Regions from separate parts of the Mus musculus genome. Here regions 2, 3, 4, 5, 6 and 7 are each reported to be linked to region 1. Evidence: microRNA targets listed by miRTarBase, many of them from high-throughput screens and not tested one by one. Region 1 holds a microRNA gene; each other region holds the end of a gene's coding sequence.

Region 1 (4,000 bases):
TTTTAGAGATGCTGCAGTACTGGGCCACCAAGGATATGCATGTGTGTATAGTTGTGTGCATATTCATTTTTCTATATGAATATGCATATACACGCATGCACACACACTCACAGGAATGGCCAGAGCTATGTCTCAGGTAGGAGGTGAATATTCTTGCCAGTGTCAGGAGGCTACAGAGTTCAAATTCATGCTTAACTTCATGAAGAGTTAGAGATCAGCATGAGATTCATGTGATGCCCACCAAGAAAGTGCATGTGTGCATAGTTGTGTGCATATTCACTTCTCTATGTGAATATGCATATGCACGCATGCACACACGAATGGCACTCATATATCCTTTTGAATGATATGTGACTCAGAGCTTTAGAGCTTATGCAGTACCAGGTCAGAGCTATGTCTCAGTTAGGAGGTGAAATCCCTTGCCAGAGTCAGGAGGTCCTGGAGTTCAAATTCATGTTTAACTTCATGATGAGTTAGAGATCAGCATGCGATTCATGTGATGCCCACCAAAAATGTGCATGTGTGTATAGTTGTGTGCATATTCATTTCTCTATATGAATATGCATATACACACATGTACACACATGTACACACCCACACCCACCCACCCACACACACCACTTAGAGTAATGGCATCATATATCCTTTTGAATAATATGTGACTCAGAGCTTTAGAGCTTATGCAGTACTGGGCCAGTGTGTTGTTTCACTCGTTAGCTGAATACTTTTGCCACAGTCAGTATGTTTCAGAGTTCAAATTCATGGTTAAATTCATGATGAGTTAGAGATCAGCCTGGGATTCATGTCATGCCCCCCATGTATGTGCATGTGTTTATACTTGTGTGTGCATGTACATGTGTGCATATCAATATATGTACACATACACATACAGACGCACACACATACATGCAGGAATGTCACTTGTCAATCCATTTGAATGATATGTGACGTAGAGCTTTGGAGATTATGTAGTATTGAGTGAGGGTGAGGCTTCAAATACCAGGCTAAAATCCTTGCCAGAGTCAGGAGGATCAGGAGTTGAAATTCATGCTTAACTTCATCAAGAGTTAGGGATCAGCCTGTATCATGTGATGCAGCTTATGTATATACGTGTGTGTTCATGTGCATGTGTGTATAATATAAATATAAATATACATACACACTAACATAGACATGCACGCGTGGAAAAACACACATGAATGGCACTTATCAATCCATTTGTATGATATGTAAATTAGATCTTTCAATACTATGTAATACTGGGCCAGTGAGACATCTCACTCACTAAGTAAAAACGCTTGCCAGAGTCAGGAGAATAAAGAGTTCAAATTCATAATTAACTTCATGAAGATTTAGAAATCATCCTGGGATTTATGTGATGGCCCCTATGTATGTGCCTGTGTGTGTTCTTGTGTGTGCATGTGCATGTGTGTATATGAATATACATATACATACACACATACACACGCACGTACACACACACAAACACACACATACAGGAATGGCACTTATCAATCCATTTGAATGGTATGTGACTTAGAGTTTTAGAGATTATGCAATAGGGGACAGTGAATGTTCTCACTCACCAGGTGTAAACGATTGACAGAGTCAGGAGGATCAGAAGTTCAAATTCATGCTTACCTTCAGTTAGAGATCATCCTGGTATTCATATGTATGTGCATGTGTGTTTACGTGTGTGTGCATGTGCATGTGTGTATATGAATATACATACACATACACACACACATACACACACATGCAACACACACATATGAATGACACTCACTGATCACTTTTAATGATATGTGACTTATAGTTTTAGAGATTATACAGTACTGGGCCAGTGAATGGTCTCACTCAGAAGGTGAAAATGCTTGCCAGAATCAGGAGAATCAGGAATTCAAATTCATGCTCAACTTCCTGAGAATTTAGAGATTAGTCTGTGATTCATGTGATGCCCCCCATGTATGTGCCTGTGTGTATAGTTGTGTGTGCATGTGCATGTGTGTATATGAATATACATATACATACACACACACGTATAAACGCAAGCACAAACACACACAGAGGAATGGCACTCGTTGATCCATTTGAATGATATGTGACTTAGAGCTTTAGAGATTATGTAGTATTGGGCCACTGAAACTTTTCATTCACCAGGGAAGGCTTGCCAGAGCATCAGTATCCAGAGTTCAAAATCATGCTTAACTTCATAATGAGTTAAAGATCAGCCTGGGATTCATGGGCTGTACCCTATATATGGGCAGGTGTGTGTCTTGTGTGTGCATGTTCATTTGTGTATATGAATATGAATATACACACACTTACACACTCATGCACACACACACACATCCATTTGAATGATATGTGTCTTAGAGCTTGAGAGTTTAGGCAGGACAGTGCCAGGGAGAGATCTCACTCACCAGGTAACAATGTTTGCCATACTCAGGAGGATTAGGAGATGAAATTCATGCTTAATTTCATGATGAGTTAGACATCAGCCTAGAATTCATGGGATGTCCCCCATGAATGTATGTGCATGTGTATATAGTTTTGTGTGCATGTGCATGTGTGTCTATTAATGTACATATACATACACACAAACATATACACGCATGCGCAGATACAGACACAGAAATGGCTTTCATCGATCCATTTGTATAATATGTAAATTTACTGGGCCAGTGAGACATCTCACTCACCAGGCAAAAACATTTCTCACAGTCAGGAGAATCAGGAGTTCAAATTCATAATAACTTCATGATGAGTTAGAGATCAGCCTTGTGTTAATGTGATGACCCCTATGTATGTGCATGTGTGTATATTTATGTGTGCATGAAAATGTATGTATATATGAATATACATATACATACATACCCACACAAACATGCACACACACACAAACACACCCACAATTGCCACTTACCAATCCATGTGAATGATATGCAACCTAGAGGTTAGAGATTGAGTATTCCTTTGCCCAAAAGAGCTCTCTCTCTCTCACCAGGTGAAAATGCTTGCAGAGTAAGGAAGAACAGCAGTAAAAATTTATGCTTAATTTCATGATGAGTTAGAGATCAGCCCGGGATTTGTGTGTTGCTTGCTCTATATGTGTGTATACTTGTGTGTGCATGTATATGTGTGTATATGAATATACATATACATACACACCCATATACACACGCATGCATGCACACACACAAATACATATACACAGGAATGGCACTCATCGATCCATTTGAATGATATGTGACTTAGAGTCTTATAGATTATGCAGTAGTGTGTCAATGAACGGTCTCACTCACCAGGTGAAAATGGTTGACAGAGTCAGGAGGATCAGGAGTTCAAATTCATGATTAACTTCAGTTAGAGATCATCCTGGCATTCATGTGATGCCACCCATGTATGTGAATGTGTGTTTACGTGTGTGTGCATGTGCATGTGTGTATATGAATATATGTATACATACACACACACATACACACTCATGTAACACACACACACACACACACACGAATGGCACTCATTTATCCATTTGAATGATATGTGACGTAGAACTATAGAGATTATGTAGTACTGGGCCAGTGAGTGCTCTCACTTTCTAGTTGAAAATGCTTGCCAGAATCAGGAGAATCAGGAGTTCAAATTCATGCTTACATTCATGAGGATTTAGAGATCAAACTGTGAATCATGTTTTGCCCCCCATGTTTGTGCATGTGCGTATAGTTGTGTGTGCATGTATATGTGTGTATATGAATATACATATACATACACACCCATATATACACGCATTCATATGAACACATCAACACACACGCAGGAATGGTATTCATCGATTTATTTTATTGATATGTGATTTAGAGCTTTAGAAATTATGTAGTACTGGGCCAATGAAACTTTTTACTCACCAGATATAAACGATTGGTATAGTCAGAAAGATCTGGAGTTCAAATTCATGCTTAACTTCATAATGAGTTAGAGATCAGCCTGGTATTCCTGG
Region 2 (4,077 bases), not on the chromosome of region 1:
ATCCTAAAATGTGGAACATTTTAAACACATGGTAGTGTTTAAATTCATAAACAAGTAGATTAAAAGTCATAGAGAAGGTAAATTAGATGAAAAGAGTGCACAATTCAGTGCTTTCACTCATAACTAATACCTTATATAGTACTGCAGTGACCTCCAGTGTACTTCCTCCATTTCCTATATTCTAAAAATAGGGAGCTCGCTCACTACTGCTACAACAATGTGAACAATTGGGTTAGATAATTCTCCACCATGTACCAGTGACTTGAGATGTGGCAATTAATTAGATTGAAAGGTCATGATTTGGGGTTATAACTTAAATCCACGTTCTTAAGAGTGTCTGTATATTAATCTGTAATCACCATATTGCTTTAAATTGTTTATTTTTTAAATCTACTTTCATAATACAGGCAGTGTGATTAGCTGTGCCTTTAACAGAATCATTCAATGTCTAATATCTAAGCACATCTTCATGAATGCAACTCAGAGGAAAGGAAATTTAAAACACAAGACTAGAAAACAATCACAAAACACAAGTTTAATTACTATTTTAAACATTAAGGGGGAAAAAAAAACCCTAGCAAAGAAACAAACCATAAGTTCTCCATAAGACTTGGTATTCTGAATATTTTTTTTAAAGTTTTTAGAACATACAAAGATATTAAAGGAAAAGGCGGGCCTAGTTCCTTGGAAAGGACTGACCAGGAAAGGCAGAGTGACTTCACTTTCTTATAATTAGATTTTAACATTGTCTACCAATCAGAACGGGCAATGTGTATTTATCTGCCTGAGTTACGGTGAAAGGAAGCCTGACTCCAGGTGATCAGTGGCTATTGCTGAAGTACATTTGCTTATTTTTTTTTTTAGGATTGAAACTAGCAAACTGTCGTATACTAAAAAGTCATGGGAGGAAGTATTAAAACAAGCATGACTTCTGTAACAGACCACGCCCAGAACCACCAGATTGCAAATGGACATCAAAGCAAAAGCTGCTCTCTTCAAATAGTTACATGAGTAGTATTAGTACAAATTCCTTATTTACATCAAAATCTGTTTCAGTTTGCTGGTGTGACCACAGCTTAGGTAATTCCAAAGGAGAAGCAACTTCAGAGATGTTTAGTTGGTAGAAGGGCTTAAAGGTCTACTAAAGTCACAAACCACTAGGTAACACTACACTGGTCACCTGTTCAAAGTAGACCATTAGTGACTAGAAGTCCTCCTTAGCCTCTGCAAATCAACGGTAAAAGGAAAGTAGACACAAAGTGGAAGAATGTGAACACACAGAGAAGACTGACATTCTAAGTCATGCCATTTGATTTTATTTTAAAAAATCATAATAGAATCTCTTTAAAAGTTTTAAAGGAGCTTTACAATAAAATTCTTAAATAAATTTTTGTGTGGTCTAACAGTTTAAGTTTGAAAGTAGAACTAAACTTCTGGTAGTACACTTCTGCTATGTTACATAAGGAAATATATATGTATATACACCAGAAGGGAGCTTCCTTCTCCACATTCATGACTCCGAAACAGAAAGTACCAGTTCACAGGAGACTACACAACGGGACAGAGCACTCAAACAGCTGCTTGAAATCTCTGCAGTCCTCATGCCTTGCTACATTTGTTTAGATTCCCTACTGAACATAAATTATTACAAATTTTATATAAACATGTTACTGAATATGAAAGATTTTTTCCTGTGACCTAACTTTTCCTCTATGATCTATACAAACTTTAACTTCTGTCACAGACAACAAGGTAACAAGTTTTCTTGTATGCAGAGCAAAATGTTTGAATCCCATCTTTATCAAACAAGTTTAGGAAGTATATAAGTTTATACTGCTAGTACCCAGTGTGGTATGTGAAAATTTTTCTTTAACTCTAGAGACTATTCATACATTGAGCTGCCAGTGAGTGCAATCTACTAAAACACTCATTTAAAAAAGTAATGGAAGGGGAACAGGAGCCAAAACAAAATACCAAAACAACATATCCAGAAAACTTTAAATGTGTGTTAAAAATCAATTTCTGAATCTTAACATGCCTTTCAAATGCTATCCCTGGTTGAGATATTAACAAATTTCTCTAAACGTGTAAAACAGCATCAGCATTTGGCAAATTTACTAATTAGTCAAATCTATTTTATAACAGCTTTTACCAAAAAAAAAAAAAAAAATGGTCAAAGTATAATTTTCACTTAGAATGAAATTATCTAACATCTAGCCAAAATTAAAACAACAGGTAAGTGCAAGTGTTCTAACTTCAAGGGTTTGCTATTTGGTTTGCTGCTTTAAGGTCTTAACTAATTAATCAGACTTTTCTAAAATACCAACATCCCTAAATTAAAATGTAAGACATGAAATCACCAATCAGCTGACCAAAGACTGAAATGACTGAGCATAAACTCACAAGTACTTCATGACTCAATTTCTCAACATTTCTCTCACAAGGTTCAAGCTGTTTCAAAAACAATTCTAATTGGTCTCAAAATAGTCTCTAACTGAAATACAAATCAAAGTATGTGGTATTCCCCAAGTGCCACTGACCAATTTTCTATGAATTCTAATAACCATTTAAAAACCAATTGTCATTTTTTTTAAATATTTCTAAAATATCAAATAGCCAGGTGGTAGTGCTGCATGTCTTTAATCTCAACACTCAGCAGGAAGAGGCAGATCTGAGCTGGAGGTCTGCCTGGTTTACAGGATAGTCAATGCTACACAGAGAAACCCTGTCTTAAAGTATACAAGACCCAAAGGGACCGCAGAGTCAGAATCTAGGCATTTGTACATCTCACTGGGCAGCTTTATTCCTTCCATCTAGGACTAAAGGTGTTTGGATTGAGTTCTAGACCTATCCAAATATGGATACAGGGCATAACAGGCAAGCTGGGTGGAGGTCTGTTGATAGAAGAGTCACAGTGAGACAGCAGTGAAGAATTAAGGAGGCTTGGGGAGGGGCCTACACTTCTGCACTATCTGTGATCAGGACGACAGTCCAAATTCAACTATATATTAACTTCAATTACTTGAGGTGTTTAAAAGATAAAAGTGTACTCAAGGTTTTCAGCATCTGAAAATATATAGAGAAAAAAATTATAGCAAACTAATACTTCATGTGGAAGTATTAAATTTAAAATTTAAATTATGTACCCACACACCACAGTTATATCTTTAACAGTACTAACACCAGATATGCAGCCTAAAGTACTTCTCACAGACTTGAACTCCATCTACAACTAACATTAAGAAATAAAAACAAAAACCATCTTCATAAACCACTGATCATAAATTTCTATTTTTTGTTCTCTAACTTGATACTATATTTAATTAACTGACTCCTTTTGTTTAGGTATGCTTACACCTAAAAGATGGAGATTGTTTTGATACTAAGATAAAACTTTGAGAATCCTTACCAAATTTTACCATTAAAACCCTTAGTATAAAAGATTCCTATGATCAAAGTCTAATAGTTCTTTTTAAGTTGTATTTTTAAAATATTAATGATTAGATGCTCCACCTGCTGAAGAAGAATATGACCTGGAATTCCAAAATTGACACATGGTTCATAAACGAAAGTTACTTAGAGAAAATAGCCTGAAAAATGAAAAAGAACAGCGAATCCTTGTTCTAAAGGAAAGAGAAAACCTGCATGTGTAAATAAGTTCCAGTGGAAGGTTTAGAATCTGTCCTGTGCCCCATGCTGTTTATTAATTACTGCAGTTTAAAACAACAACAATAACAACAAGGAGGATGTGTGAACTGCATTGCTCCTTCATTCAGGTCAGCTTGGCTTTCTTCTTGCCAGGGCCCTTATGCCCTTTGGCCTTTCTTCTCAGATTGCGCCTGTCTACTACAGGAACTTCCACTTCAATCTCCTCTGAGCTGCTATCCACAGCTTTCTCTGCTGACTGTGTAAACTGTTCCAGGTGCTCAGAGGACGCTTCAGACTGTTCCTCTGACTGGCTCTTCTGTCCTGCATTCTGTGGAAATGGCGCGTCTTCAAGTTCTACCTCTATCAGAGAACTCTGAGTAGCCGATGGTTCCTGGGCCTCAGGTGCTCCCTCCTCACCCTGGTCTTCCA
Region 3 (4,080 bases), not on the chromosome of region 1:
ACCAAATGTCACATACAGGTGTTTTCTCAAAGGCCTTAGCCCCCTGTGTAATTGAAGGCCTCTGAACTGGAAAGGGGGATGTTGACAAATGGAGACCGTCCCTGGATGGGAACATCCACTAAGGGGACTCCTCTGTGGACAAGGGAGGATTTTGGATATCCTTCTGCCATTGTTCAAGGTTCATTCTTAGACTAGAGACTGGGGTATACAAAAGAACTGGAATTTGAGCTGACAGTTCAGAACTGGGGCTCCCAGCACAGAGACAGAGAAGTGACCCAGAGGAACCCCCCCCCTTAGAAGGTGGCTCTCTTTTCTCTCGTTTACTCTGTTGCTGTTGTATCAGGGAAAAGAGGGTCCGGGGTCTCTTCTCCAGCAAGGATCATAATCATCTCCTCCACACTCTTCGCCTCTCATCATCAATATAGTCTATAAGCTCAGACACCCAGTATGCTGGTTGTCAACCTGACACAACTCTGCTCATTACTGAGAAGAGAGAATCTTGAGAAACACCTAGATTATGTAAGATTAGCCTAGAGGTAAACCTATAGGCTATTGTCTTAATGATTGGTGTAGAAGAACCCAGCTCACTGTGGCTGATGCCATCCCTGGGCAGGTGGTCCTGGTTGATCTAAGAAAGCAGACTGAGCAAGCCATGAGGTGCAAAGCCAGTAAGCAACACTCCTCCATGGACTCCGATTCAGTTCCTGCCTCCAAGATCCTGCCCTGCTCTGAGTCCCTCAATGATGAAATATCAACCTGAGAATTAGAAGCTAAAATAAACCCTTTGCTACCCATTGCCTTTGGTCATGGTGTTCCATCGCAGCAATAGAAACCCTAAGACACACAGCCTTAATGGGTTTTCTTTTCCCTTTTGACCACCTCCACCCTATACTGTAGCATGTGCCTTAGGACACAGATTACTTTTATTGGTCTCAGATCTTTTATCCTTTTGCTTACCCAAAGACAGAGCCTGGTTCCCCATCCTTACAACGGTGATGTCTTGATGAGAGAGGCTCAAACTCCTCTCTGTTTCTATGGTGATAACCCTTGAGGACCAGCTGAGGCCCTTTAACTACTGCAGTTGGTGTGGAGCCTATATACCATCGGAACTGCAGGTCTGGAGTCTACACTCGCTTCTCATCGGATTGAACATTTCAATCGCACTCAAATCGCCCTTCCAGACATCCCGCCCACCAAAGCATTATTCATACTTCCAAGTTGCGTTTCCCTGTTGTTTTTTTTTCTTCTTCTTCTTCTTCTTCTCTTGGTTCAGAAGTTGTCTTCCCAGAACCTCAAATTTCATCCTCATGGACTAAATGGGGAACATCAAAGGATCTCCATTCCTCCCTTCCCAAGTCCTCCTGGGAGTTACACCACCTCTCACCTCCCCCTCACCCCCTGTACTGGTTTCATGTGTTGTCCCCCCTGGACCTTTTGTTTTCCACTTCCAAGGATGGACATCTCAGTGACTCACTTACCCAACCACATCAGTATGCCATAGCTCAATTTTCTTGCCTTGGTTTGTGCTTGGGAGTTACCTAGTTGCTGCTATGCTCATTCGATGCCCTTATCTCAACACTGCTGATTCATTTTCAGAATTGGGGTTCTGTTAGTTCAGGAGCCTGAGATATATTTGTCCATATCCAGAACCTCAGCCATGAGACAACAGGTGTGCACGTTCCCAGGACCTTTGGTTGCAGAGAGTCTCTCACATTGGGTGCCAGGCTTTTAGAAATAGGTCTGGGGTTCCAAGCAAGGGACCACGCAATCCAAAGTAAGCCAGTAAGGTGAAAAGTGTTACTTCTGTACACAGGTGAATAGCCATTGCCAAATCAAGCTGGGTTGATGCCGAAGTCCTGCTGGTTTTTTTTTTTTTTTAATCCCTAACACAAAGGGATCCTGGTGCCTCTCTGAGTGGTCAGAGGCCTTCCAGGCCTACAAATCCAAAGCAGCACAGCTGGAAAGTAAAGGACAACCTTTGAGAACGGAACGCATCCTTAAGTACATTTTGATTTCAGGAAGGGTTGCCTCTCTCTGCCCTACCATCTTTGATAAACACAAGTGGTTTAATCCAGACACCAGACTTGAGTTACTTTCTTGACCGGAATGAACAGCAAAACAGAGCGTCAAACCGAGCCCGTCAGAGCATCCTTCTCAGGACTAAGCAAACAAATGTGGTCAGGCTGAGGACTGACCCCAGTCTCAAGCAGTGTGGGCCAAGTCTGACAAGCTGGACTGAGTGCCCAGAGCCATTCTGAGGAAGCTTCAGACCGTTTCCATGCCTTGCTGGGCTCGCTGCTCCTTGAAGCGTTCGCTTCTGACCCATTCCTATTGGCCCCGCATAGCTTTGTGTCATTAAAAAGGTTCAAACTGGTTTCTGTTCCTTACAATGAACTTTTTTTTTTTTTTACAATTCATTTGCTTATTTTATGTATGTGTATACACTGCTGCTCTCGTCAAACACACCAGAAGACGACATCAGATCCCATTACAGATGGTTGTGAGCCACCATGTGGTTGCTGGGAATTGAACTCAGGACCTGTGGAAGAGCAGCCAGTGTTCTTAACCACTGAGCCATCCCCACAATGGATATTCTTAAACATCTAATGATTGTAAAAAGCCATTCCACACTCAGGTGCATCCATAAAACACTCCTTCCCCCACTATTATTCCTGGAAAGCTTTAGCAAATAAGTTCATATGGGCTTAAGTCCCAGAACTAGTAGATTTAGCTACAGGCCAGTAATAACCCTGAGCAGGTAATGTGTGATCAGCCACAGTAAGACTATTTATGTGGTGGCAGACACTTCTTGTGGCTGCCAAGCACCCTGGCCATCCCTTGTTTTCTGAGGATCCAGGCCTTTCACACAGAGGCATCTCTTTGTGCCAATCTCATGACAGCATCAAGAGAACCGCCACTTAGGGGGATCCCACCCCCTCCTTTTCTGATCAGTTTAGTTGGTAGAATGAGCTCTCTCACTCCACCCGCTAGCTACATATACAGAGGCATTTAACACCTTGCAGTATCAATAAAGTATGAAGTAAGGACCATGGTTGGCCTATGGCCCAAGTTTGCTTATTCAAGCATTAAATTTCAACATTTAAAAAAAATATATATTGAGCAATTCCATTTTATTGGAGCTGAGCAGGGAGGATGTAAATTTGATGGAGGAAGATTTGGGTTGAGTTGAAGAAAACAGAAGTTCATGTCCTCGAGTGTACATATATATTTATATACAAATATATACTTTATTTCACTCATCTCTCTTTTCTCAGGAATGGAGGAAGGGCTCGCTGGGTTTGTTGGAAAGGGGCTCAAACGTGGAGAAGCGGTAGTGGTAGTTCCTTGGTCCACTGTACTGGGAGGGATGTTTCATAGGGTAAGTTCTCATCTTCAGGGCCTCTATGAGGCGCTGGAGACGCCGAGCAAAAGACAGCGTTGTGCGGTGCCTCATGTGTTGTGTAGCAATGGTAAAGGATGCAGGCTGGGCTGGGGTTGGGGGCGAGAGGAGGGGCATGAGTGATGAGGAGGTTTGGGTCGAAGACGGCCGATGGAGCAGAGGCCGTAGTGGTCGCAGGTAAAGCGGTCGAGAAGGCAGGTGTTGGAAATACCAAGGAGGGCGAAGAGAAGGAGGGTGAAAAGAGACCATCGGATGGCGGGTAGTCGGCGGATGAGGGGTGGCTGGCTGAATCAAGTGCAAGGCGTTAGGGCCGATCTTGGAAGCAATCCAGTCCAGGTAGTCCCAGGTGGCTGTGTAGACTCCGGGACGCTTAGCACGGGCACAGCCTACCCCCCAGCTCGTGATCCCCACGACCACAAAGGGGCTGTCGACGTTGTCTCTGCACATGAGAGGCCCACCACTGTCCCCCTGTCCAGAAGGACAGAGGGGTCACTTTCAGCCTAAACCACTCTCCCTTCCCAGAAGACTCATGGATGGGGCTATGGGAGAACAAATGTCTGTAGCCACATAGTTTCTTGCTGCCTTAAGACACAACTGGTGAGGGTAAGAGCTGCAAACATCCGTTGGGATGTGGAGGGCGGGTGGGGGAGGGGCCCTGAGGTGCCTTGCAATAAGATGAG
Region 4 (4,080 bases), not on the chromosome of region 1:
AGGGTTTCTGTAGGGTTTTGCCCACAATGAATATGATTTGGGCTAAAATGTTTTATTTTTGTGGTTAGTGGCATTGTATTTATTTTTGAAACACGATTCTACAGGTGTATTATTAACATGTGTAGTTTAGGCTCTGTGCTAAAAGCCACCCACAGTTATCCAAGTTACTTTGCCAGTTTTTGATTTTTGTTTTTAAAGGTTTGAGTACACATTGTTGTCCTCAGACACACCAGAAGAGGGCATCAGATCCCATTACAGATGGTTGTTAGCCACCATGTGGTTGCCTGTAATTGAACTCAGGACCTCTGGAAGAGCAGTCAGCGCTCTTAACCACTGAACTATCTTTCCAGCCCACTTTGCCATTTTTTTGTTGGCAGGATTTTACAATAAGAATAAAAATACCTTTTCTCCTGAAAAGTGATTTTATAGCTATTGCTTCAATAAAGGCATTGACTTTAAAAAAAAAAAAAGAAAATCTGAGCAGACAGTTGCTGAGACATTGGAGGCTGGGGACGGGGGCTGGGGGGAGTATTTGTGCAAAAAACATTAACTATTGTTTCTTCCTCAGAATTCCATCATCCCTGGTCCCCCTTTCCTCTTTGGAGCCTGTTCGGTACTGCTGGCTCTGCTCGTTGCCTTGTTTATTCCGGAACACACTAATTTAAGTTTAAGGTCCAGCAGTTGGAGGAAGCACTGTGGCAGTCACAGCCATCCTCACAGTACACAAGCGCCAGGAGAGGCCAAAGAACCTTTACTCCAGGACACGAATGTGTGACGGAAATCAGGAAGACTTCTCTCTCTCGCAGCACCCAGGTCTTAGTTTTCACCTGTAGCTCTGGATGTACATTCCATTTCCATCTGCAGTGTACTTTAAGACTGTCTTAAGAAATACTTGCATGAACTCCGTGGGAACTAAAGAAAGAACCGGACAGTTTTCCAAAGATGTTACACTTTCTTTCAAAAAGAAACCTTTTGTTTATATTAGCACCACTCTCTTGCCACTAAACTGTTTTATTACACATCTTTAATTAAAGCTCTATCTGTAACTCCGTCTCTGCCATTTCCTTAGGTGTTGAGCCTTTACCTGCTCGTGCTGACTCAGCGACACTAGGCAGGATGGTTATGGACCTGTTTGCTTTAACCTTGTAAAACCTGAGTCATTGTAAAATCTTGGGTCAAATAATTCAAAGCCTTAATGCAGATGCACTAGAAAAGAAATGGTAAAGAATTGTTTGCATTTAAAAGAACTTGTGAAAATTGTAGAAAACCAGAATCATGTTTCAAGCTTGTTTGCCATAATTTTATTTAAAGCATTATTCACGGCTGTTCTGAAGAATGAAAAGATCAGCCACTTAGAATTCAAATTGGGGTGGTCAGAGCCTAGCCATCTGGCTCAATCTGTTTAAATCTGTTCTGCTTCTTATACCACTATTCTTTTGATATTTGCATAATCATAAGGACCTCAACACTTGAATACATAATCTAAAAATTATATAGTAAAGCTGGTAGCCTTGAAAATGTCAATGTGATATCTATATGTAGATAAATATATATAGTGGCCTTTCAGGACTGTCACAGTAACACTTTATTTACAGAGCTAATGTTTGTCCTAAATTTTCAGGACCCTAGAAGAGAGCTTTATACAATTACTGATGTGAATTTCTCTAAAGTGTATATTTTTGTGTCCAGTTATATTATTTAAAAAAGTGTTACTTTGTAAAAATGTACATAAAGTATTGTATAGTTTACACTGTTTTCATCTTGTGTGTGGTTACTGCCTAATGCTTTTTAAACTTGGAGCATTCACTATGATTAAATAAGGTCTCAAATGTAAATATTCTGTTAATAAAATTAAATATTTTAATGATTTTTTTCTTTTTAAAAAGGTCTTGATCTGTGAGTCCCTCCCTGTAAGGCCGGTTTAGGCTTTGTTACAGTAACAAATCCTCTTACCTTAACTTACCTTCTGCAATCCATTTGCTGCCCTCACCTCACCTCACCAAAAACAAAACAAAAAGCCTGAAGATAAAAATAACGAAGTGTGTAGGTCAACCGGAAATGCTTGATTTCCTAAGCACAGTTAGTCTTTTATTTCCTAAACATGCTTCTTGCATATAAAACGCTCAAGCCTCAGTGCTTTATTGACAAAGGTCACAGCTTTCAGAAATAGCAAAAAGCAACATTCTGATGGTTAACACATGTACAGTTATACAACACAAAACAATTTCAGACAAAAGCAGAAGAGGTAGAGCAGAGAGTTGGCGCTATCTGTGTGTGTGGACACTTAGCACAGAGACAGGTCACCAACACCCTGCGTGGAAATGAGCTGTCCTATCGTGGAAACAGGTTTATAAATAGTAAGGGGAGGGTATCTCTTCTAAAAAGCTATATATGTCTTGTATCCCTTTCCAAAGGCTGCCATAGCTCTTAGGTTTATTCTATAGTATTTACAACAGTCCTGTGCTGCATAGAGAGACTTCTTTCCAGAATAAGTGCTTTCAAGTAGTTATAGCAATATTCTTCCCATCACTGAACTGTGATAACAGCCCTCGTTGAAGACAGCTAGCAATAGCCATCATCCTGAAAGTGAGGCTAAAGATTCTACGTCACTGTCTCAAAATGTCTGCAACAGTGTAAAGTACTTGAAAAAAAATGTGTATAAATGTTTTGCCTAGAAACCACATGCATGCCTGATGCACTCTGGGTGACAAAATTGTGAGCTGTCATGTGGGTGCTGGGATTAGAACCCACATCCTCTGAAAAGAGTAGCTAGTGCCGATCATCACTAAGCCATCTCTTCAGCCCCTTGAAACTTAAAATATCACATGATTGTTAACATTTTACAGATAAGATTTTTGGGGTCTTGGAATTTTAATTTCCTTTGGGTGGTTGTCAACAAGAAAACAAAATTAGACCTCTAAGATTATAGAGGGTTGTTTTTGGTTTTTTGTTTCATTTTGTTTTTTAAAACTACTTAATTTCAAAGGAATAGTTCTTGGAAGTTTTTAATAGTGAGGAAGTTGTAATTTCCAATAGTTAACTCTCCTCCTGCTTTATTAACACTGATGACAAATTTTAATATTATAAAAAGTCCCATGAACTTTTATGGTGTTATTACACTGATGATCTTTATGGAATGCCCAGATGACTAAAGCACTTCAGTCATGTAAATACACTGTCCCAATGATTTTTATATAAAAATTATTTCAGAGAAAATGATTTACTCACTATGAATACTTAATTTCACTCAAAATCCTTAAGAGTGTCACTAGGTACATCAACCAAACTCCAAATGCCCATACCCAGGACTTGACTAGCACAAGGTCGAATACACTGTTTTGGGTTTGATTTTTTTTTTGGGGGGGGGGAAGGGGGTTCGAGACAGGGTCTCTCTGTACAGCCCTGGCTGTCCTGGAACTCACTCTGTAGACCAGGCTGGCCTCCAACTCAGAAATCCGCCTGCCTCTGCCTCCCGAGTGCTGGGATTAAAGGCGTGCGCCACCACTGCCCGGCTGGTTTGATATTTTTATCTTACTGATTGGTTATTTTTATTTTCTTTTTTAAGGGAGAAAGAACATAAAATTGGGTGGGTAGGAAACTGGAGACCATCTGGGAGGAGAAATTATAAACCAAATATATTGTGTAACTCAGGCTTGGTGGGTACACAGCTTTAGTCCTAGGTCTTGGGACACAGAGGCAGGTGGATCTGGGTTTGAGGCCAGCCTGGTCTACATACATAGCCAGTTCCAGGACAGCTTGAACTACATAATAATAGACCCTGTCTCAAAAAAAAAAAAAAAAAAAAAACTTTGAAAGTTGTATGAGAACTGAATGTAAAGTCAATGTAAGGCTCAATGGTCACAGGTGGAAGCTCTCCCAGCTCTCAGGTGGCAGATTAAGATTTTTTTTTTTTTACAATAAAAATGATCGAATGAATCACAAGTCTTCAGTTTATATTCCCTGCAGGTGTATCTTGATAAAGTGTCCCTAAGCAGACCAACTGGTAAGAATCTGATACAATCCAGTGACTTTTTGAAACATTCTGTTTTGTTCACAGAAAAAAAAATACCATTTACTCAG
Region 5 (4,080 bases), not on the chromosome of region 1:
GCTGGACCACAGAAAGGTGGAATCTAGCCCAGCCAGCCTGGCCATCTGTGAGAAGGCCAGTGGGTACCTGCGGGACAGCTTAGCCTCTACACCAACTGGCAGTTCCATTGACAAGGTGAGGGGTAGGGTGGGTTCCTGTCTAGGCCAGGGTCACAGCTGTCCATTTCCAGGTTCTTGGTGTTAGTACAGAATAATGCTAAATGGATTTACCTCAGTTTTAACGACGGCTTAAGTCTTGGGGAGAGGGGGCTTTACTGTTTCGCCACCACCAGGAAGGAGGGTGTGGGGAGCAGACTGGCAGGGTTCCTGTTGGGAGCCATTGTTGGGAAGACTGCGGGCTTGTAGCAGGAGGCGGTGCATGTGTTGAGGCAGATGCAGTGCTTCAGTGATGCAACCTGGAGTCAGGCCCCAGTGCTGTGGACTTCCTGCCCTTACTGACGCTGCCTTGAGACAGGGTGGCCCTCAGCTAGGGAAAGCTTGATGTCCATAGGGAAACTCCTCCCTCTGCCCTGCCTGCTATCCCAGGCCATGCAGCTGCTCCTGTGTGATCTACTTCTTGTGGCCCGTACCAGTCTGTGGCAGCGGCAGCAGTCACCAGCTTCAGTCCAGGTAGCTCACGGTACCAGCAATGGACCCCAGGCCTCTGCTCTGGAGCTGCGTGGTTTCCAACATGACCTGAGCAGCCTGCGGCGGTTGGCACAGAGCTTCCGGCCTGCTATGAGGAGGGTGAGTCCCACTGTTCTCACACTGAGGGGCATGAGGTAGGAAGCCGGGAGTGGGGGGACAGTAAATCTGAAACGGGTGACTACTCCTTGCCTCTCAGGTATTCCTACATGAGGCCACAGCTCGGCTGATGGCAGGAGCAAGTCCTGCCCGGACACACCAGCTCCTGGATCGCAGTCTGAGGAGGAGGGCAGGTTCCAGTGGCAAAGGAGGTGAGGAGGTGGCTGTGCTTACAGGGCTGGTGAGGGTCAGGGGCCGTCTTGGTCTAGTGAGACATACTGAGAGCTGACTTACAGAAATCAGCGGGGATGACAGTTTTTGAGGCAGTCATAGGAAAGAAGCTGAGCCCCCCTGTGTGCCCAGCCCAAGTGGAGAAAGCAGCCAGACTGGGAGTTCCACGTGGAAGAGCTCAGCTACTTTGTCCTGCACATGGGGTGTGGGCTCGGCCAGACCTAAGCCTCCCTCCCTTTGATGTGATCTGTGCAGGCACTACAGCTGAGCTGGAGCCACGGCCCACATGGCGGGAGCACACCGAGGCCCTGCTGTTGGCATCCTGCTATCTGCCCCCTGCCTTCCTGTCGGCTCCTGGGCAGCGAATGAGCATGCTGGCCGAGGCGGCACGCACCGTAGAGAAGCTTGGCGATCACCGGCTACTGCTGGACTGCCAGCAGATGCTCCTGCGCCTGGGCGGCGGAACCACCGTCACTTCCAGCTAGACCCCAAAGCTTTCCCTTGAGGACCTTTGTCATTGGCTGTGGTCTTCCAGAGGGTGAGCCTGACAAGCAATCAGGACCATGCCGACCTCTAGTGGCAGATCTGGAAATTGCAGAGGCTGCACTGGCCCGATGGCACCCTCTTGCTCTGTAGGCACCTTAGTGGCTTTTCCCTAGCTGAGGCTCACCCTGGGAGACCTGTACATAGTGTAGATCCGGCTGGGCCTGGCTCCAGGGCAGGCCCATGTACTACTTTGACTTTTGCAAACTTTATTTTCATAGGTTGAGAAATTTTGTACAGAATATTAAAAAATGAAATTATTTATAACTTCAGTTTTGTTTATCTGGGTAGGCAGATGTCTGCCTCAGCTGATTGCTATCTTTCCTGGCTTGTCCTTTGGGAAGCCGGACTTCCCATCTGTTGTAAGGTGTATTTGCTGGCTTGGTGATGCTATGTTGAGCCACCTTGGCCCTCTGATCTCATGGCTCATAACCCTTGAGGGGCCTTGATGGTCTCAGTTGTTCCTTTGCCTTCCAGCCCTCCACCAGGTAATAACCCCGTATATCCAGAAACACACACAGTTCCCTAGTCATCTCTGTGCACCAGCATAGGCGAAGGATCAGGGCCCATTAGTGAGTAGACTGGGAACCCTGTTTGTGTCCCCCGGCCCCTTCCCTCTACTCCCAACCCCTTAGGGAATCTGGTCGGCATCCACAGGCCGCACACTTCCAAAACAATCGTGGTATCTTTATTGACTTTTTTTTTTCTGAATGCAATGACTGTTTTTTTTTTTTTTAACTCTTAAGGAAAATAAACATCTTTTAGAAACAGCTCGATACACACAATCTTCAGTGTGAAGCAATATACTAATAAGAACACTAGTTGTCTTAACATTTACAGTCTTCATATATATTATATATATGTATATGTATACATATATATACACTATATAACGAGGCCAGATATAATACACACGTTTACCATTTTACAGTCATATGTACAGAACGTTGCAGGGAGAAGGGGCTGCATCAGGCCTATTAAAGCGTGGACAGAGCTGAGGACACAAACGGACAGGTGGGGGCTGGCCGTGGTGGTGGTGATGGTGGTAGTTGCTCGGGGAAGGGGCATCACTTTGGCCCCGACCCCAGCCAAGGCCAGGTTAGGGCTCTGTGCTGTGGAGCACACGACGCACAGCAGCGACACACAGAAGCGAGCATGTTCCCAACATATATACATTCTATGTAACATATATATAGAGGGGTACACAGGTTTGTACACGAATCTAGCACTGTCTCCGCCTATGAGCCGAGTGAGCTGAGTGGCAGTCCCTGAATCCCATGTTGGTGTTTTGTCTGGGACAGCTGCACATCTGCTAGAGGGTAGCCAGGCCCAGTCTCCTCAGGCTTCCAGACGGGGCTCCAACAGTGGGGTGGAAGACTGGAAAGGGGACAAACAGAAGCCATAGGGCGCCACCCCAGGCCAGCCCGCATCAAGGATAGACTGGCCTGAGCCCAGGCTGCCACGATCTTGGGCAGATCCATGCCAAGTGCTGAGCCATGTCCCCCGCCGCTGGGCCTCTAAGAAAGGCTTGGGTCTGCCCCACGTCGTCCACTGAGCCAGCAGCCTAGCCTCTTCCCAGGGGCACAGCTTGCATGCCACGTCTTTTTCAGAACTTGCAGGGGACTTGCCCCCCGCCTGAGACATTGTGCCCTGGGTCTGGCCACTCCCTGGCCTGCCTTCGCCAAGCCTGGCCCCGGTTTTCTTCGCAACCTAGGCCTCACGCCAGCGCCCAAGGCAGCCGGAACCTAGACCCTGGATGGGATCAAGGACCGGCTGTGGGCGCAGCTCTTCTTCCTCGGAGTTTCGGCCACACGGGGATTACAACGGCAGCCTCTGTGGGAGGGACAGCCCGTTACTGTTATCACCAGCCGCTGCCACCCCTGTCCTTCCACAAGAACTGTGCAATCACCCTAGACTGGCAAAGTAACTTTAGGACCCAGCCTGCACCCCTCCCTACTCTCTGGCAGGGCAGGGAGAAACTGGGTTAGGTAGGGAATGCTTTCTCTGGGGAGCCTGCTCACCTACCTTATGTTTGGGGCACTTCAAAGTAAAATTCTCCTCAATGAACGTGCAACCTGTGAGCAAAGAAAAGTTTCTGTGGTGATGCAGAGCCGGCTGGCTGCCAGTGTTAGTTCTGATGCCCTGGTCTTGCTCAGAACCCTCATTAGTCCAAATCCCCCCAGAGGTGCAGCCCCTCTGCCTCTACCCTGCTATGTCCCTTCCTGGCCTCCACTCCTAGACACCCCCCCTGCCCCACCCCCACCCTGGCCACCACTACCTGGCCATCTCCCTCCTACCCAGGTCTCCCCAAAGGAGAAGGAACACTCATTCTCAGACATGCCCACTCCTGACCCAACCTCCTGCACAGTGGCCAGGAGAGGTCCATGCTCAGAAAGCACCCCATGATTGCTTGGGTGACTGACAACTGCAGAGTGGAGTCTCAGGTCTTGACTGAAATGTCAGCTACAGAATCTCAGCCTCTATATTGTAGATCAATCACAATGTCACCTACTGTGTGCTCTCATGATCCTTCTTCACGTTCAGAGGAAATGTTCCACACGGAAGGGCTTATTCTTAAGAGAC
Region 6 (4,070 bases), not on the chromosome of region 1:
TTAGTAACCTTAATAACTTACGGGATGCTATAAGAAAAATAATTTCAGCCATGTTTCTGGATAAAATTTTATTCTTGGCAATAATGAAGAAATTCCTAAGATTAAACAGGACTGGAGGAGTGGCTCAGTGCTCAAGAGCAGTGTCTGCTTTTTCAGAGGACCTGCATTTGGTTCCAGGCTCCCACATCAGCTGACTTACAGCTGAGAGAGAGAAAGAGAGAGAGAGAGATAAAATCTTAAAAGACAAAGTCCAAGAAAGAGACAAGTGACTGACTTTGTGCTTCTCTTTATAGACACCCCGGACATCGGATCTACTAAGGGTGACAGGTGAGCAAAATGAGTTTCATTTATCGCTGGTGCTTTGCTGGTAAACTGTCTCCAGGGCACACAACAGTGGGCCTGATCGCTGATCCTTCCTCTTCTTTCTTGCACACATGCAGTGCTGCTAACAGAAGGGGACCAAGCAAAGATGACACATACTGGAAGGAGATCAATGCAGCCATGGCCTTAACAAACCTTGCCCAAGGAAAAGATGAAGTGCAGGGGACGACCACCAGTTGCATCATCCAGAAGTCTTCCCACATAGCAGAAGTAAAGACAGTCAAGCTGCCACTGGTGCAGCGCTTCTAGAGTGGCCAGGAAGTGCTGAGCTGTCAGTGGGTTGTTTGTTTGTTTGTGTTTGTTTTTACCTAAATCCTCATCCTAAGAGCCAAAGCAGAGGTGAAGAGGACTCCCTTAAAACTCCTGAGTTCAACTATCGTAAATATATCAGTTGCTTCTATAAAAAGACATATAAGTTATAAAAACTCATTTTAATCAAAAATATTAACTTATTTTTATGTTACTGAAACTATGCATAAAGTATCTGCATTACCATTACAGTAAGTGCCTTGCTCCCTGAGGTAAGCCCCAACGTGGGCACAGTGAAGAGCTGTGCCTCAAACCATCAATGCCAACACTTGCTAGACTGCATCATTCCCACTGGTCCAGGACAGAAGCCAATCGCCGAAAGCCCATGAAACAATTTCATTCATTCACATGTTCAAACTTGGAAATCTGTTCAGCCCAGATGAGGTGATCTTTTCTTTCTTTTTTCTTTCCTTTTCTTTTTCTTTTTCTCTTTCTTTTTCTTTCCTCTTTCTTTTTTTTTTTTCTTTTCCTTAACTTCCGGTGTGATGGTGAGAATTTTATGTGTGGGTTTTGTTTGCATATCAGTTAGTGCATCCAAAATGAAAGGTGCTGCAGGACCACATGATGCATACACTTAAGAAGAGATGCTTTCAAACTACTTTAATATTGTAATGCAGTCAAGGATTGTTTTCCCAAGCACTGCTGGAAAGTATCCCAATGCCCTTTACAACTAATTGGGATTTTTTTTCCCTGAAGCTTTAAAAAGAGTCTTATTATATAAATCTTTGAAATTTTTTCCTGTGTAAAGCTAAACCTAAAGTTTAGTTTTAAATCATAATCTTGTTTGCATTAGAGCTCAGGGTTCCTGTGTGATGGAAGCCGCTTTCATGTGGAGTGAGTAAAAGCTTTTTATTTGGTTCATTTCAAATCCCAATTCAGATGGACAATTTGTATTGCAATGAGAACAAGACAACGAAGAAAAAATCTGTGTGTGTATATACATATACATGCAGAAAAATTGATTTCTTAAAAATTTAAAATGTACGGGTAGCAAAATATGTTCATGTAGCATAGACTGTTTAGTCTCTGATTTTTGCCAGATAGGACATTCAAATAGAAATTAAGTGAAGTCTTGCATTAAAAGAAAGAAAGTCTTGTTTCTAAATGTCACTACCACAGAGTGAGAGCAATCGCTATCAAGAAAGAAAAGTCTTTTCCATCAAGCATTAACATCCTCCCCTGCCTGGGAAGACTGCAAACCAGAGGAATGTGGAGATGCCCAGTAGAAAAGGAAATCTGGAGATGGCCTATAAAACAGAGCAAACGTTCAACAGCAAAGTAAAAAAGACTAGGCTATCGGGGGAATTTTTTTCTGGTTATGTAATGTATTTTCTAATTGTTTTAGGCTGGAAAGCATTTTTGCAAGTGTGAATGACATCTGGTTTCACAGCACATGCTGACGTTTTTTTCTTTATTTTACAAAATGCTTTTAATGCCAAAGTTAATCTGGTTGCTGAGCAGACATGACGGCCTTGATGGCCCTCGTAGGACACTTTCTCCTGTATCATAGCATAGTGGGGTGGGGGTTATCTAGTGTAATGAAGATAATTTGATATGAAAATATTTTGTACGTATATTTTTACTTTGTTTTCTCAAGTGCTGTTGGCAGTTGCAGTTGCCCTAGGTGAGATGTGTCAGTGCTGACTGTATGAATGGATGAAGTATTGGGTTCTTCTCGTGCAGCCAGCCAAGTGGGGATCACTACAAGACAAGCCTGCCCAGATGTGCATGAGGCAGTGAGAAGCAAGAACGAATACTTCACTCTTTCTCATACTATTATAAGTTATTCTGGTATTAAATATTTTAATAAAAGTGTTCTTGTTTTAACATATTGTGATTAGATAAGTGAACTTTGGGTTGTATTTTATTTGAAATTGTCATGTTTTACATTTTTCTATCCTTTGGGGGGGGAAATCAGCTAATTTGTTCTGTATTATGAACACAAACCAATGACAGGATACTCTCCACATAATTTCTTTAAAATACCAAAGCTTGGAGTCTGGCCTATACACACATGAAAAATAGGTAATTAGCATATCCTGAGCAATGTCTCCAATTAGAATCATTTTATTATTTTTCTGTGTTACTGTTGTTTTATCTGGAAATCAGAGCCCCCCTGACCCTTAAAAGCACCTTGAGCAATGCCAAGCCAGCAGCTGAGAGCTCGGCTGACATGTAATTTATATTGAAGAGAAAGAGACTCACTCTTATTTTACAGTTGTATTTTAATAAAATTAAAGTCTGTCAAGAGTTCTTGACAGATTTAAAATAAAAGTTCATTTCTAGACTTCAGTGATCATATGGGATTTGTTTGCCTTTGAAAGCTGGCCAGGGCGAGGGAGCAGGAGACAGGAACAGCCTCGCATGTGGCTCATGGATTGGGAGTGCTATAGTTGGACCAAATTTGAATTCTATCACTTTAAGCCACTAACCCACCTGTTAAGACCCAAGGACAAGAACACAACACAGACTGTTCAAATACTGGGTTGTACTAAATTCTTTTTCCATAAATAATACAATAACCATTCCTCTTCCATATTTGCATATTCATGGATTCTAATTGCCTTAAAAAGAAACTTTTATCAGCATACCAAGTCATGGGTATTGTCATGACATTTCCATACTTCCATATCTTTAAGCTTTGTTCATATAGATCCCCTATCCATTACCGTTGTGTTCTGTACAGGGGAGGAGCTTAGCTTGGGAGTCAGCAGAACCGCACTGCAGTGCTGACTCTGCACCCTATCCACACACAACTGCGAGATTTAGACTCAGTCTTTAGGTGTTGTGCACACAGAGTATGAGGAATGAGCAAGACATTGCACTCTGAGGGATTGAAACAGTAGATGATACACAGAATGCAGGAGCCAGCAAGATGGAACAGTAGAAAAGAACATTTGCTGTGAAGCCTGACAGCAAATTTTGCTCTCCAGAACCCATGTGGTACAAAGAATCAGCTCCAGTCAGCTGTCCTCCGATCTCCACACTCAGAGTAAAATAAGTGTAAAAAACGTAAAATGCCTACTACAGTGGCTGAAAAATAGATGATCAATAAATGAAAAATGCTATCACATACTGTAATTTGTTCCATGTGATATGTATATAGGAGCTAAAAGTGTAGGTGGAATAGGGATTGGAGACAAAAACACCTTTACAGAAATCTTGACTTTTGACTTGAAAGACTTCAGTGGAGAAGTTAGCTCCAGAGTTAAAGCGTGGAAGGTGATATGTTCATTACTATCACTGGAAACTTCTACAGCAAAGCATGAAGTAGGGCAGAGAGAGGGAAAGCAAGCACACCCACCAAAGATAGTGAGCTTGGTGGTGTCCCTTACCAGATGACAAGAACTGCTTTTGCTCCTGTCCCCTCTTCACACTGC
Region 7 (4,080 bases), not on the chromosome of region 1:
CAGGTTCATTAACTTTATTTTTGAGGAAACTGTATATTGAGCGTCATGTGAAATCGCTACTTATAAGTTCTGTGTGGGTTGCATCTGGATCTGCGCTGTAGCATGATCCTGTTTCATGGGACTTGTTGGCACTTTTGTGAAAGGAGGAGGGGGGCTACCTTCCTTTAAGATTACCTAATATCCTGCCTTTTATCCTCTTTCTCCCCAGGCATCTGAATTCCCTTCTGAGCTTATGTCGAATGATAGCAAAGTACTCTGTGGCTAAATAAATGGTGAGTGTTGCGGGTGCCTCCTGTGTGCGCGTTTCGGTAATGTGCTTGTGTGTCTGTTAAATGTTTGGTTTGGTAAATGCATGCTTACTTCACTGTGTTACGGGTGCCGCTTGACTTACCACATAGGCATGAAGGGGCTTGTAGCTGTGGTTGCTCAGGACTACAGAACAGTTGCCTTTACAAAAACAGAAAAGAAAGAAAAAAAAGAAAGAAAAGAAATGCCAGTAACTTACTATGAAGGTGTCAGGACCAAGTGTGGCTGACTTTTATGAGCCCAGTGGCGGTACACTGAGGTGGTAACCTCAGCTGTAATTAATCTTATCGCCACAAATTCCATAGTGATTCTCTTTTCCCAAAACTGTAGTCCTCTGAGATTTCTCTGGCTAGCTGAAGACGGCTACCCCGAGCCTTACCCCTGTGCTCTGGGATCCAGATTTCCATATCTGTTAACTAAAGGGCTGTTTTCAATCAAATAATTGTTACAAGAAGCAGACTGGCGCCTGTGAGCGGGCTGTTAGAGATCCAAATAGGAGACTGGGTTTGGGAAGTTTTCCCCTGGAGTCTCCGCTATTTTCATGTTTAATTTGTGCTGCTGGGGCCGGGTATGTGTGCCGCATCTGGACGCCAGGGTTTGGTTAAATGCTCAAACTGTGGCTTCCTCGGCGCCAGGCTCGCCCGCCTCTGCCCTTAGGTTACATTCTCCTAAACTGCCTTTCTCTCCCAATCTTTTGCAGGCATTTGGGGACTTTTTTTTTTCTTTTTACTTTCTCTTTTTCTTTTGCACAAGAAGAAGTCTACAAGATCTTTTAAGACTTTTGTTATCAGCCATTTCACCAGGAGAACACGTTGAATGGACCTTTTTAAAAAGAAAGCGGAAGGAAAACTAAGGATGATCGTCTTGCCCAGGTGTCGTTCTCCGGCCTGGACTGTGATACCGTTATTTATGAGAGACTTTCAGTGCCCTTTCTACAGTTGGAAGGTTTTCTTTATATACTATTCCCACCATGGGGAGCGAAAACGTTAAAAAAAAAAGAAAAAAATCACAAGGAATTGCCCAATGTAAGCAGACTTTGCCTTTTCACAAAGGTGGAGCGTGAATACCAGAAGGACCCAGTATTCGGTTACTTAAATGAAGTCTTCGGTCAGAAATGGCCTTTTTGACACGAGCCTACTGAATGCTGTGTATATATTTATATATAAATATATATATATTGAGTGAACCTTGTGGACTCTTTAATTAGAGTTTTCTTGTATAGTGGCAGAAATAACCTATTTCTGCATTAAAATGTAATGACGTACTTATGCTAAACTTTTTATAAAAGTTTAGTTGTAAACTTAACCCTTTTATACAAAATAAATCAAGTGTGTTTATTGAATGTTGATTGCTTGCTTTATTTCAGACAACCAGTGCTTTGATTTTTTTTATGCTATGTTATAACTGAACCCAAATAAATACCAGTTCAAATTTATGTAGACTGTATTAAGATTATAATAAAATGTGTCTGACATCAATGCCGGGATTCTGAATGGTTTTTGAGGTGTCTTGTGTTTGCTTGGGGCACCTCCTTCTGTTCTCTCACCCCCTCTATCACATGTGTGTCCCGTGGCGGCCCAGTAGACTGAAACATTGTTGCCATTAGGAGGGATGGGGACTGGAAACGCAACACACCTAGCAGTGTGGCTCTGTGCCTGTGCATTGGGACTAGATTTTAAACGGGACTGTAGAAGACTCCCCTTGAGTTCCTAGGTGTGCCCTCTAGAAAGACACCTTTGGAGCAGAGAGAAAAGGGGCTTTGGCTGTCACTGGTCACCCCTGGGGGTTACGCTTTTAAACCTGGCCACGAACTCCAGAAGTCCTTCGTCTCCTCCACCTGTGGCTCACCCAGGCCTGCCTGGGCCAGCTGCTCTCCCAGTTCTGTGGCTATTAAGTGCTCTTCACCCTTGACTGCACTCTGGACCTCAAGGAACGGAGGGAAGGTGCGAGAAAAGCCCCTCCCACTCACCAAAAAAAAAGGTATCACCAACATTTCCATCCAACTCAGAGCCTTGAGGACACCGGGCCGCTAATTTGAATATGCATTCAATAGGTGCTTAGATTTAGTTCCCAAGTTGCAAGTGACTTGGTTGGGAAGGGGTGGTTCTGGAAAGTAGTCCAGGGAAGACAGGCACAGCCTAGAGAAAGGATGGGACAAGAGGTACGAGTATGTGAGTCGCACCTGGTGCCACTTTCTAGGCCAAGCAGGTGTTTGGGTGGCGCCTGCTAGTCTGCCTTGGCTGCGGTGTTTCCTCTCCCCTGACACCGAATCCATCCTGGTGAATGGAGGAGGGGCAGCTTCGGTTCCGGTGGTCCCCGCCTCCTTCCTGCAGGGCGGGGTTGTCCCTAATGAATATACCCGGGATGCACGCTTTGCCCATTACACCTGGGTTGGAGACTGCGCGAGCGAGAGCCCTTGGCAGCCGCCCAATACACTAGTCACCTGTTGCCTACTATAGCCCCTGCATGCACACCGGGCCAACCCAGGTGCGCTCTGCCATCCCACCCACCCTCACCCTTCTGCCCCGCCACACACACACGCACACACACACACACGCACACAAAGCGGGAGAGAAGTATGAGAGAACAAGTTGCTGCCCCAACCCTGCCTGTCCTCAGCTTCACGTCTGCCGGATCTCATTCTCCCCTCGGATGGCTTTGGGGATTTGACCCTGAAGTACAATTGTGCCATCGGAACTGCAGGCCCCTTCGGAGCACCTGTAGGGTCGCTGGACAACCAGCGACACGTGAATGACTTCTAATCAGCCTCAGCCTGGGGGAAAGTGGCTCCTTTGGAGGGGACTTCTAACTGCAGCTGGTCGCGCCGTGGAGGCCGAGCGCCACCTTCTGGCAAATATGAGGATCGCCGCTGGCCTACGGTTCTGCTGTACACAGGCATGGATGCAGGGAGCCGGTGGCCAGCAGCGTTATCCTGACCAAGCCTTCTGAAAATGATTGATGTCATCCCTAAAGACTGCCGCTAGCACGAATATATAAATCCGCTCCACCTCTTTACTGCGTACAACCTATTTGCCAATTAGCATCTTACTAGTTATGCTATCTCCCGCCTACCAGTTTGTGACTGGAAAAATGACTGCACAGTTGTTAGGTCAGAAAGTTTGGCAGCATGCTTCCGCACTTCTGTCCCTAACTTTTTTTTTTCCTTAATTGCTTCATGCCTTTTAACCAGAGCCCCAAGTGTTACTTTATCTCAGTGGTTTTCAACCTGTGGGTCGTGACCTCTTTGGGGTTGAATGACCCTTTCATGAAGTCATATCTTAAATATCCTGCAGATCGGATATTTGCATTATGATTCACAACAGTAGCAAAATTACACTCATGAAGCAGCAACAAGAACAATTTTATGATTGGGGGTTACTACAACGTGAGGAACTGCATAAAAGGGTTGCAACACTGGTAAGGTTACGGACCGCTGCTTTATCGGAATGAAAAATGAACAAAGCCTCCTTACGCGAGACCTTAATGCCAGGTTTGGTTTTTTTTTTCTTCCTCTAAATAAGATGTAGGTCTAGAGGGTTTGTGCACATTTTATCAGTTTCAAAAATTCTTTCAGCTTCTAAATTTGAGTAATTTGAGATTTTTTTAGAAAAAGATTTATTTATTGTACATATGAGTGCACTGTAGCTGTCTTCAGACACACCAGAAACGGGCATCAGATCCCATTACAGATAGTTGTGAGCCACCATGTGGTTGCTGGGAATTGAACTCAAGACCTCTGGTTGAGCAGTCAGTGCTCTTAGCTGCTGAGCCATC

Evidence for each region. Region 1 holds the annotated microRNA mmu-miR-669f-3p (CAUAUACAUACACACACACGUAU, at 2,021-2,043, shown strand). A microRNA usually pairs through its seed, bases 2 to 8, with sites in the 3' UTR of a target mRNA and lowers its output. Matches are read on the target gene's strand: a 7mer-m8 pairs with bases 2 to 8, a 7mer-A1 pairs with bases 2 to 7 and ends in A, and an 8mer does both.
Region 2: the mRNA of Fam169a is a reported target of mmu-miR-669f-3p. Seed matches in the 3' UTR shown: 8mer at 1,477-1,484.
Region 3: the mRNA of Acr is a reported target of mmu-miR-669f-3p. Seed matches in the 3' UTR shown: 7mer-A1 at 3,241-3,247 and 8mer at 3,231-3,238.
Region 4: the mRNA of Mfsd14a is a reported target of mmu-miR-669f-3p. Seed matches in the 3' UTR shown: 7mer-m8 at 1,671-1,677.
Region 5: the mRNA of Rai1 is a reported target of mmu-miR-669f-3p. Seed matches in the 3' UTR shown: 8mer at 2,665-2,672 and 8mer at 2,375-2,382.
Region 6: miRTarBase lists Mkx as a target of mmu-miR-669f-3p. Seed matches in the 3' UTR shown: 8mer at 1,623-1,630.
Region 7: the mRNA of Id2 is a reported target of mmu-miR-669f-3p. Seed matches in the 3' UTR shown: 8mer at 1,454-1,461.

What each region holds. Positions count from the first base shown.
Region 1 is chr2:10,465,265-10,469,264 of GRCm38, forward strand. It overlaps Mir669f (microRNA 669f), which reads left to right and starts at 1,965; the gene lies at 1,965-2,085. The region is part of intron 10 of Sfmbt2 (Scm-like with four mbt domains 2); the gene reads left to right. It overlaps Mir466m (microRNA 466m), which reads left to right and starts at 1,399; the gene lies at 1,399-1,482. Mir466f-1 (microRNA 466f-1) reads left to right here and starts at 1,680; the gene lies at 1,680-1,773. It also overlaps Mir669e, Mir669b, Mir669d, Mir466f-2 and Mir669l.
Region 2 is chr13:97,126,734-97,130,810 of GRCm38, reverse strand. It overlaps Fam169a (family with sequence similarity 169, member A), which reads right to left. Exons shown (of 13, transcript NM_001100458.1): 13 at 1,289-4,077. The coding sequence ends at 3,773. It overlaps Nsa2 (NSA2 ribosome biogenesis homolog), which reads left to right. Exons shown (of 6, transcript NM_021552.5): 6 at 1-1,384. Among named protein-coding and RNA genes, the nearest start is that of Nsa2, 9.2 kb to the left of the region's middle.
Region 3 is chr15:89,573,620-89,577,699 of GRCm38, reverse strand. It overlaps Acr (acrosin prepropeptide), which reads right to left. Exons shown (of 5, transcript NM_013455.3): 5 at 3,115-3,868. The coding sequence ends at 3,272. Among named protein-coding and RNA genes, the nearest start is that of Acr, 7.3 kb to the right of the region's middle.
Region 4 is chr3:116,628,969-116,633,048 of GRCm38, reverse strand. Mfsd14a (major facilitator superfamily domain containing 14A) reads left to right here. Exons shown (of 12, transcript NM_008246.2): 12 at 569-1,885. The coding sequence ends at 775. It overlaps Sass6 (SAS-6 centriolar assembly protein), which reads right to left. Exons shown (of 17, transcript NM_028349.3): 17 at 2,063-4,080. Among named protein-coding and RNA genes, the nearest start is that of Trmt13, 16 kb to the right of the region's middle.
Region 5 is chr11:60,197,281-60,201,360 of GRCm38, reverse strand. Rai1 (retinoic acid induced 1) reads right to left here. Exons shown (of 6, transcript NM_009021.2): 5 at 3,523-3,572; 6 at 2,166-3,330. The coding sequence ends at 3,316. It overlaps Srebf1 (sterol regulatory element binding transcription factor 1), which reads left to right. Exons shown (of 19, transcript NM_011480.4): 16 at 1-115; 17 at 526-726; 18 at 824-935; 19 at 1,210-2,277. The coding sequence ends at 1,439. Mir6921 (microRNA 6921) reads left to right here and starts at 744; the gene lies at 744-823.
Region 6 is chr18:6,933,425-6,937,494 of GRCm38, reverse strand. It overlaps Mkx (mohawk homeobox), which reads left to right. Exons shown (of 7, transcript NM_177595.4): 6 at 294-327; 7 at 441-2,529. The coding sequence ends at 630. Among named protein-coding and RNA genes, the nearest start is that of Mkx, 69 kb to the left of the region's middle.
Region 7 is chr12:25,091,503-25,095,582 of GRCm38, reverse strand. It overlaps Id2 (inhibitor of DNA binding 2), which reads left to right. Exons shown (of 3, transcript NM_010496.3): 2 at 209-272; 3 at 1,007-1,784. The coding sequence ends at 265. Among named protein-coding and RNA genes, the nearest start is that of Id2, 2.5 kb to the left of the region's middle.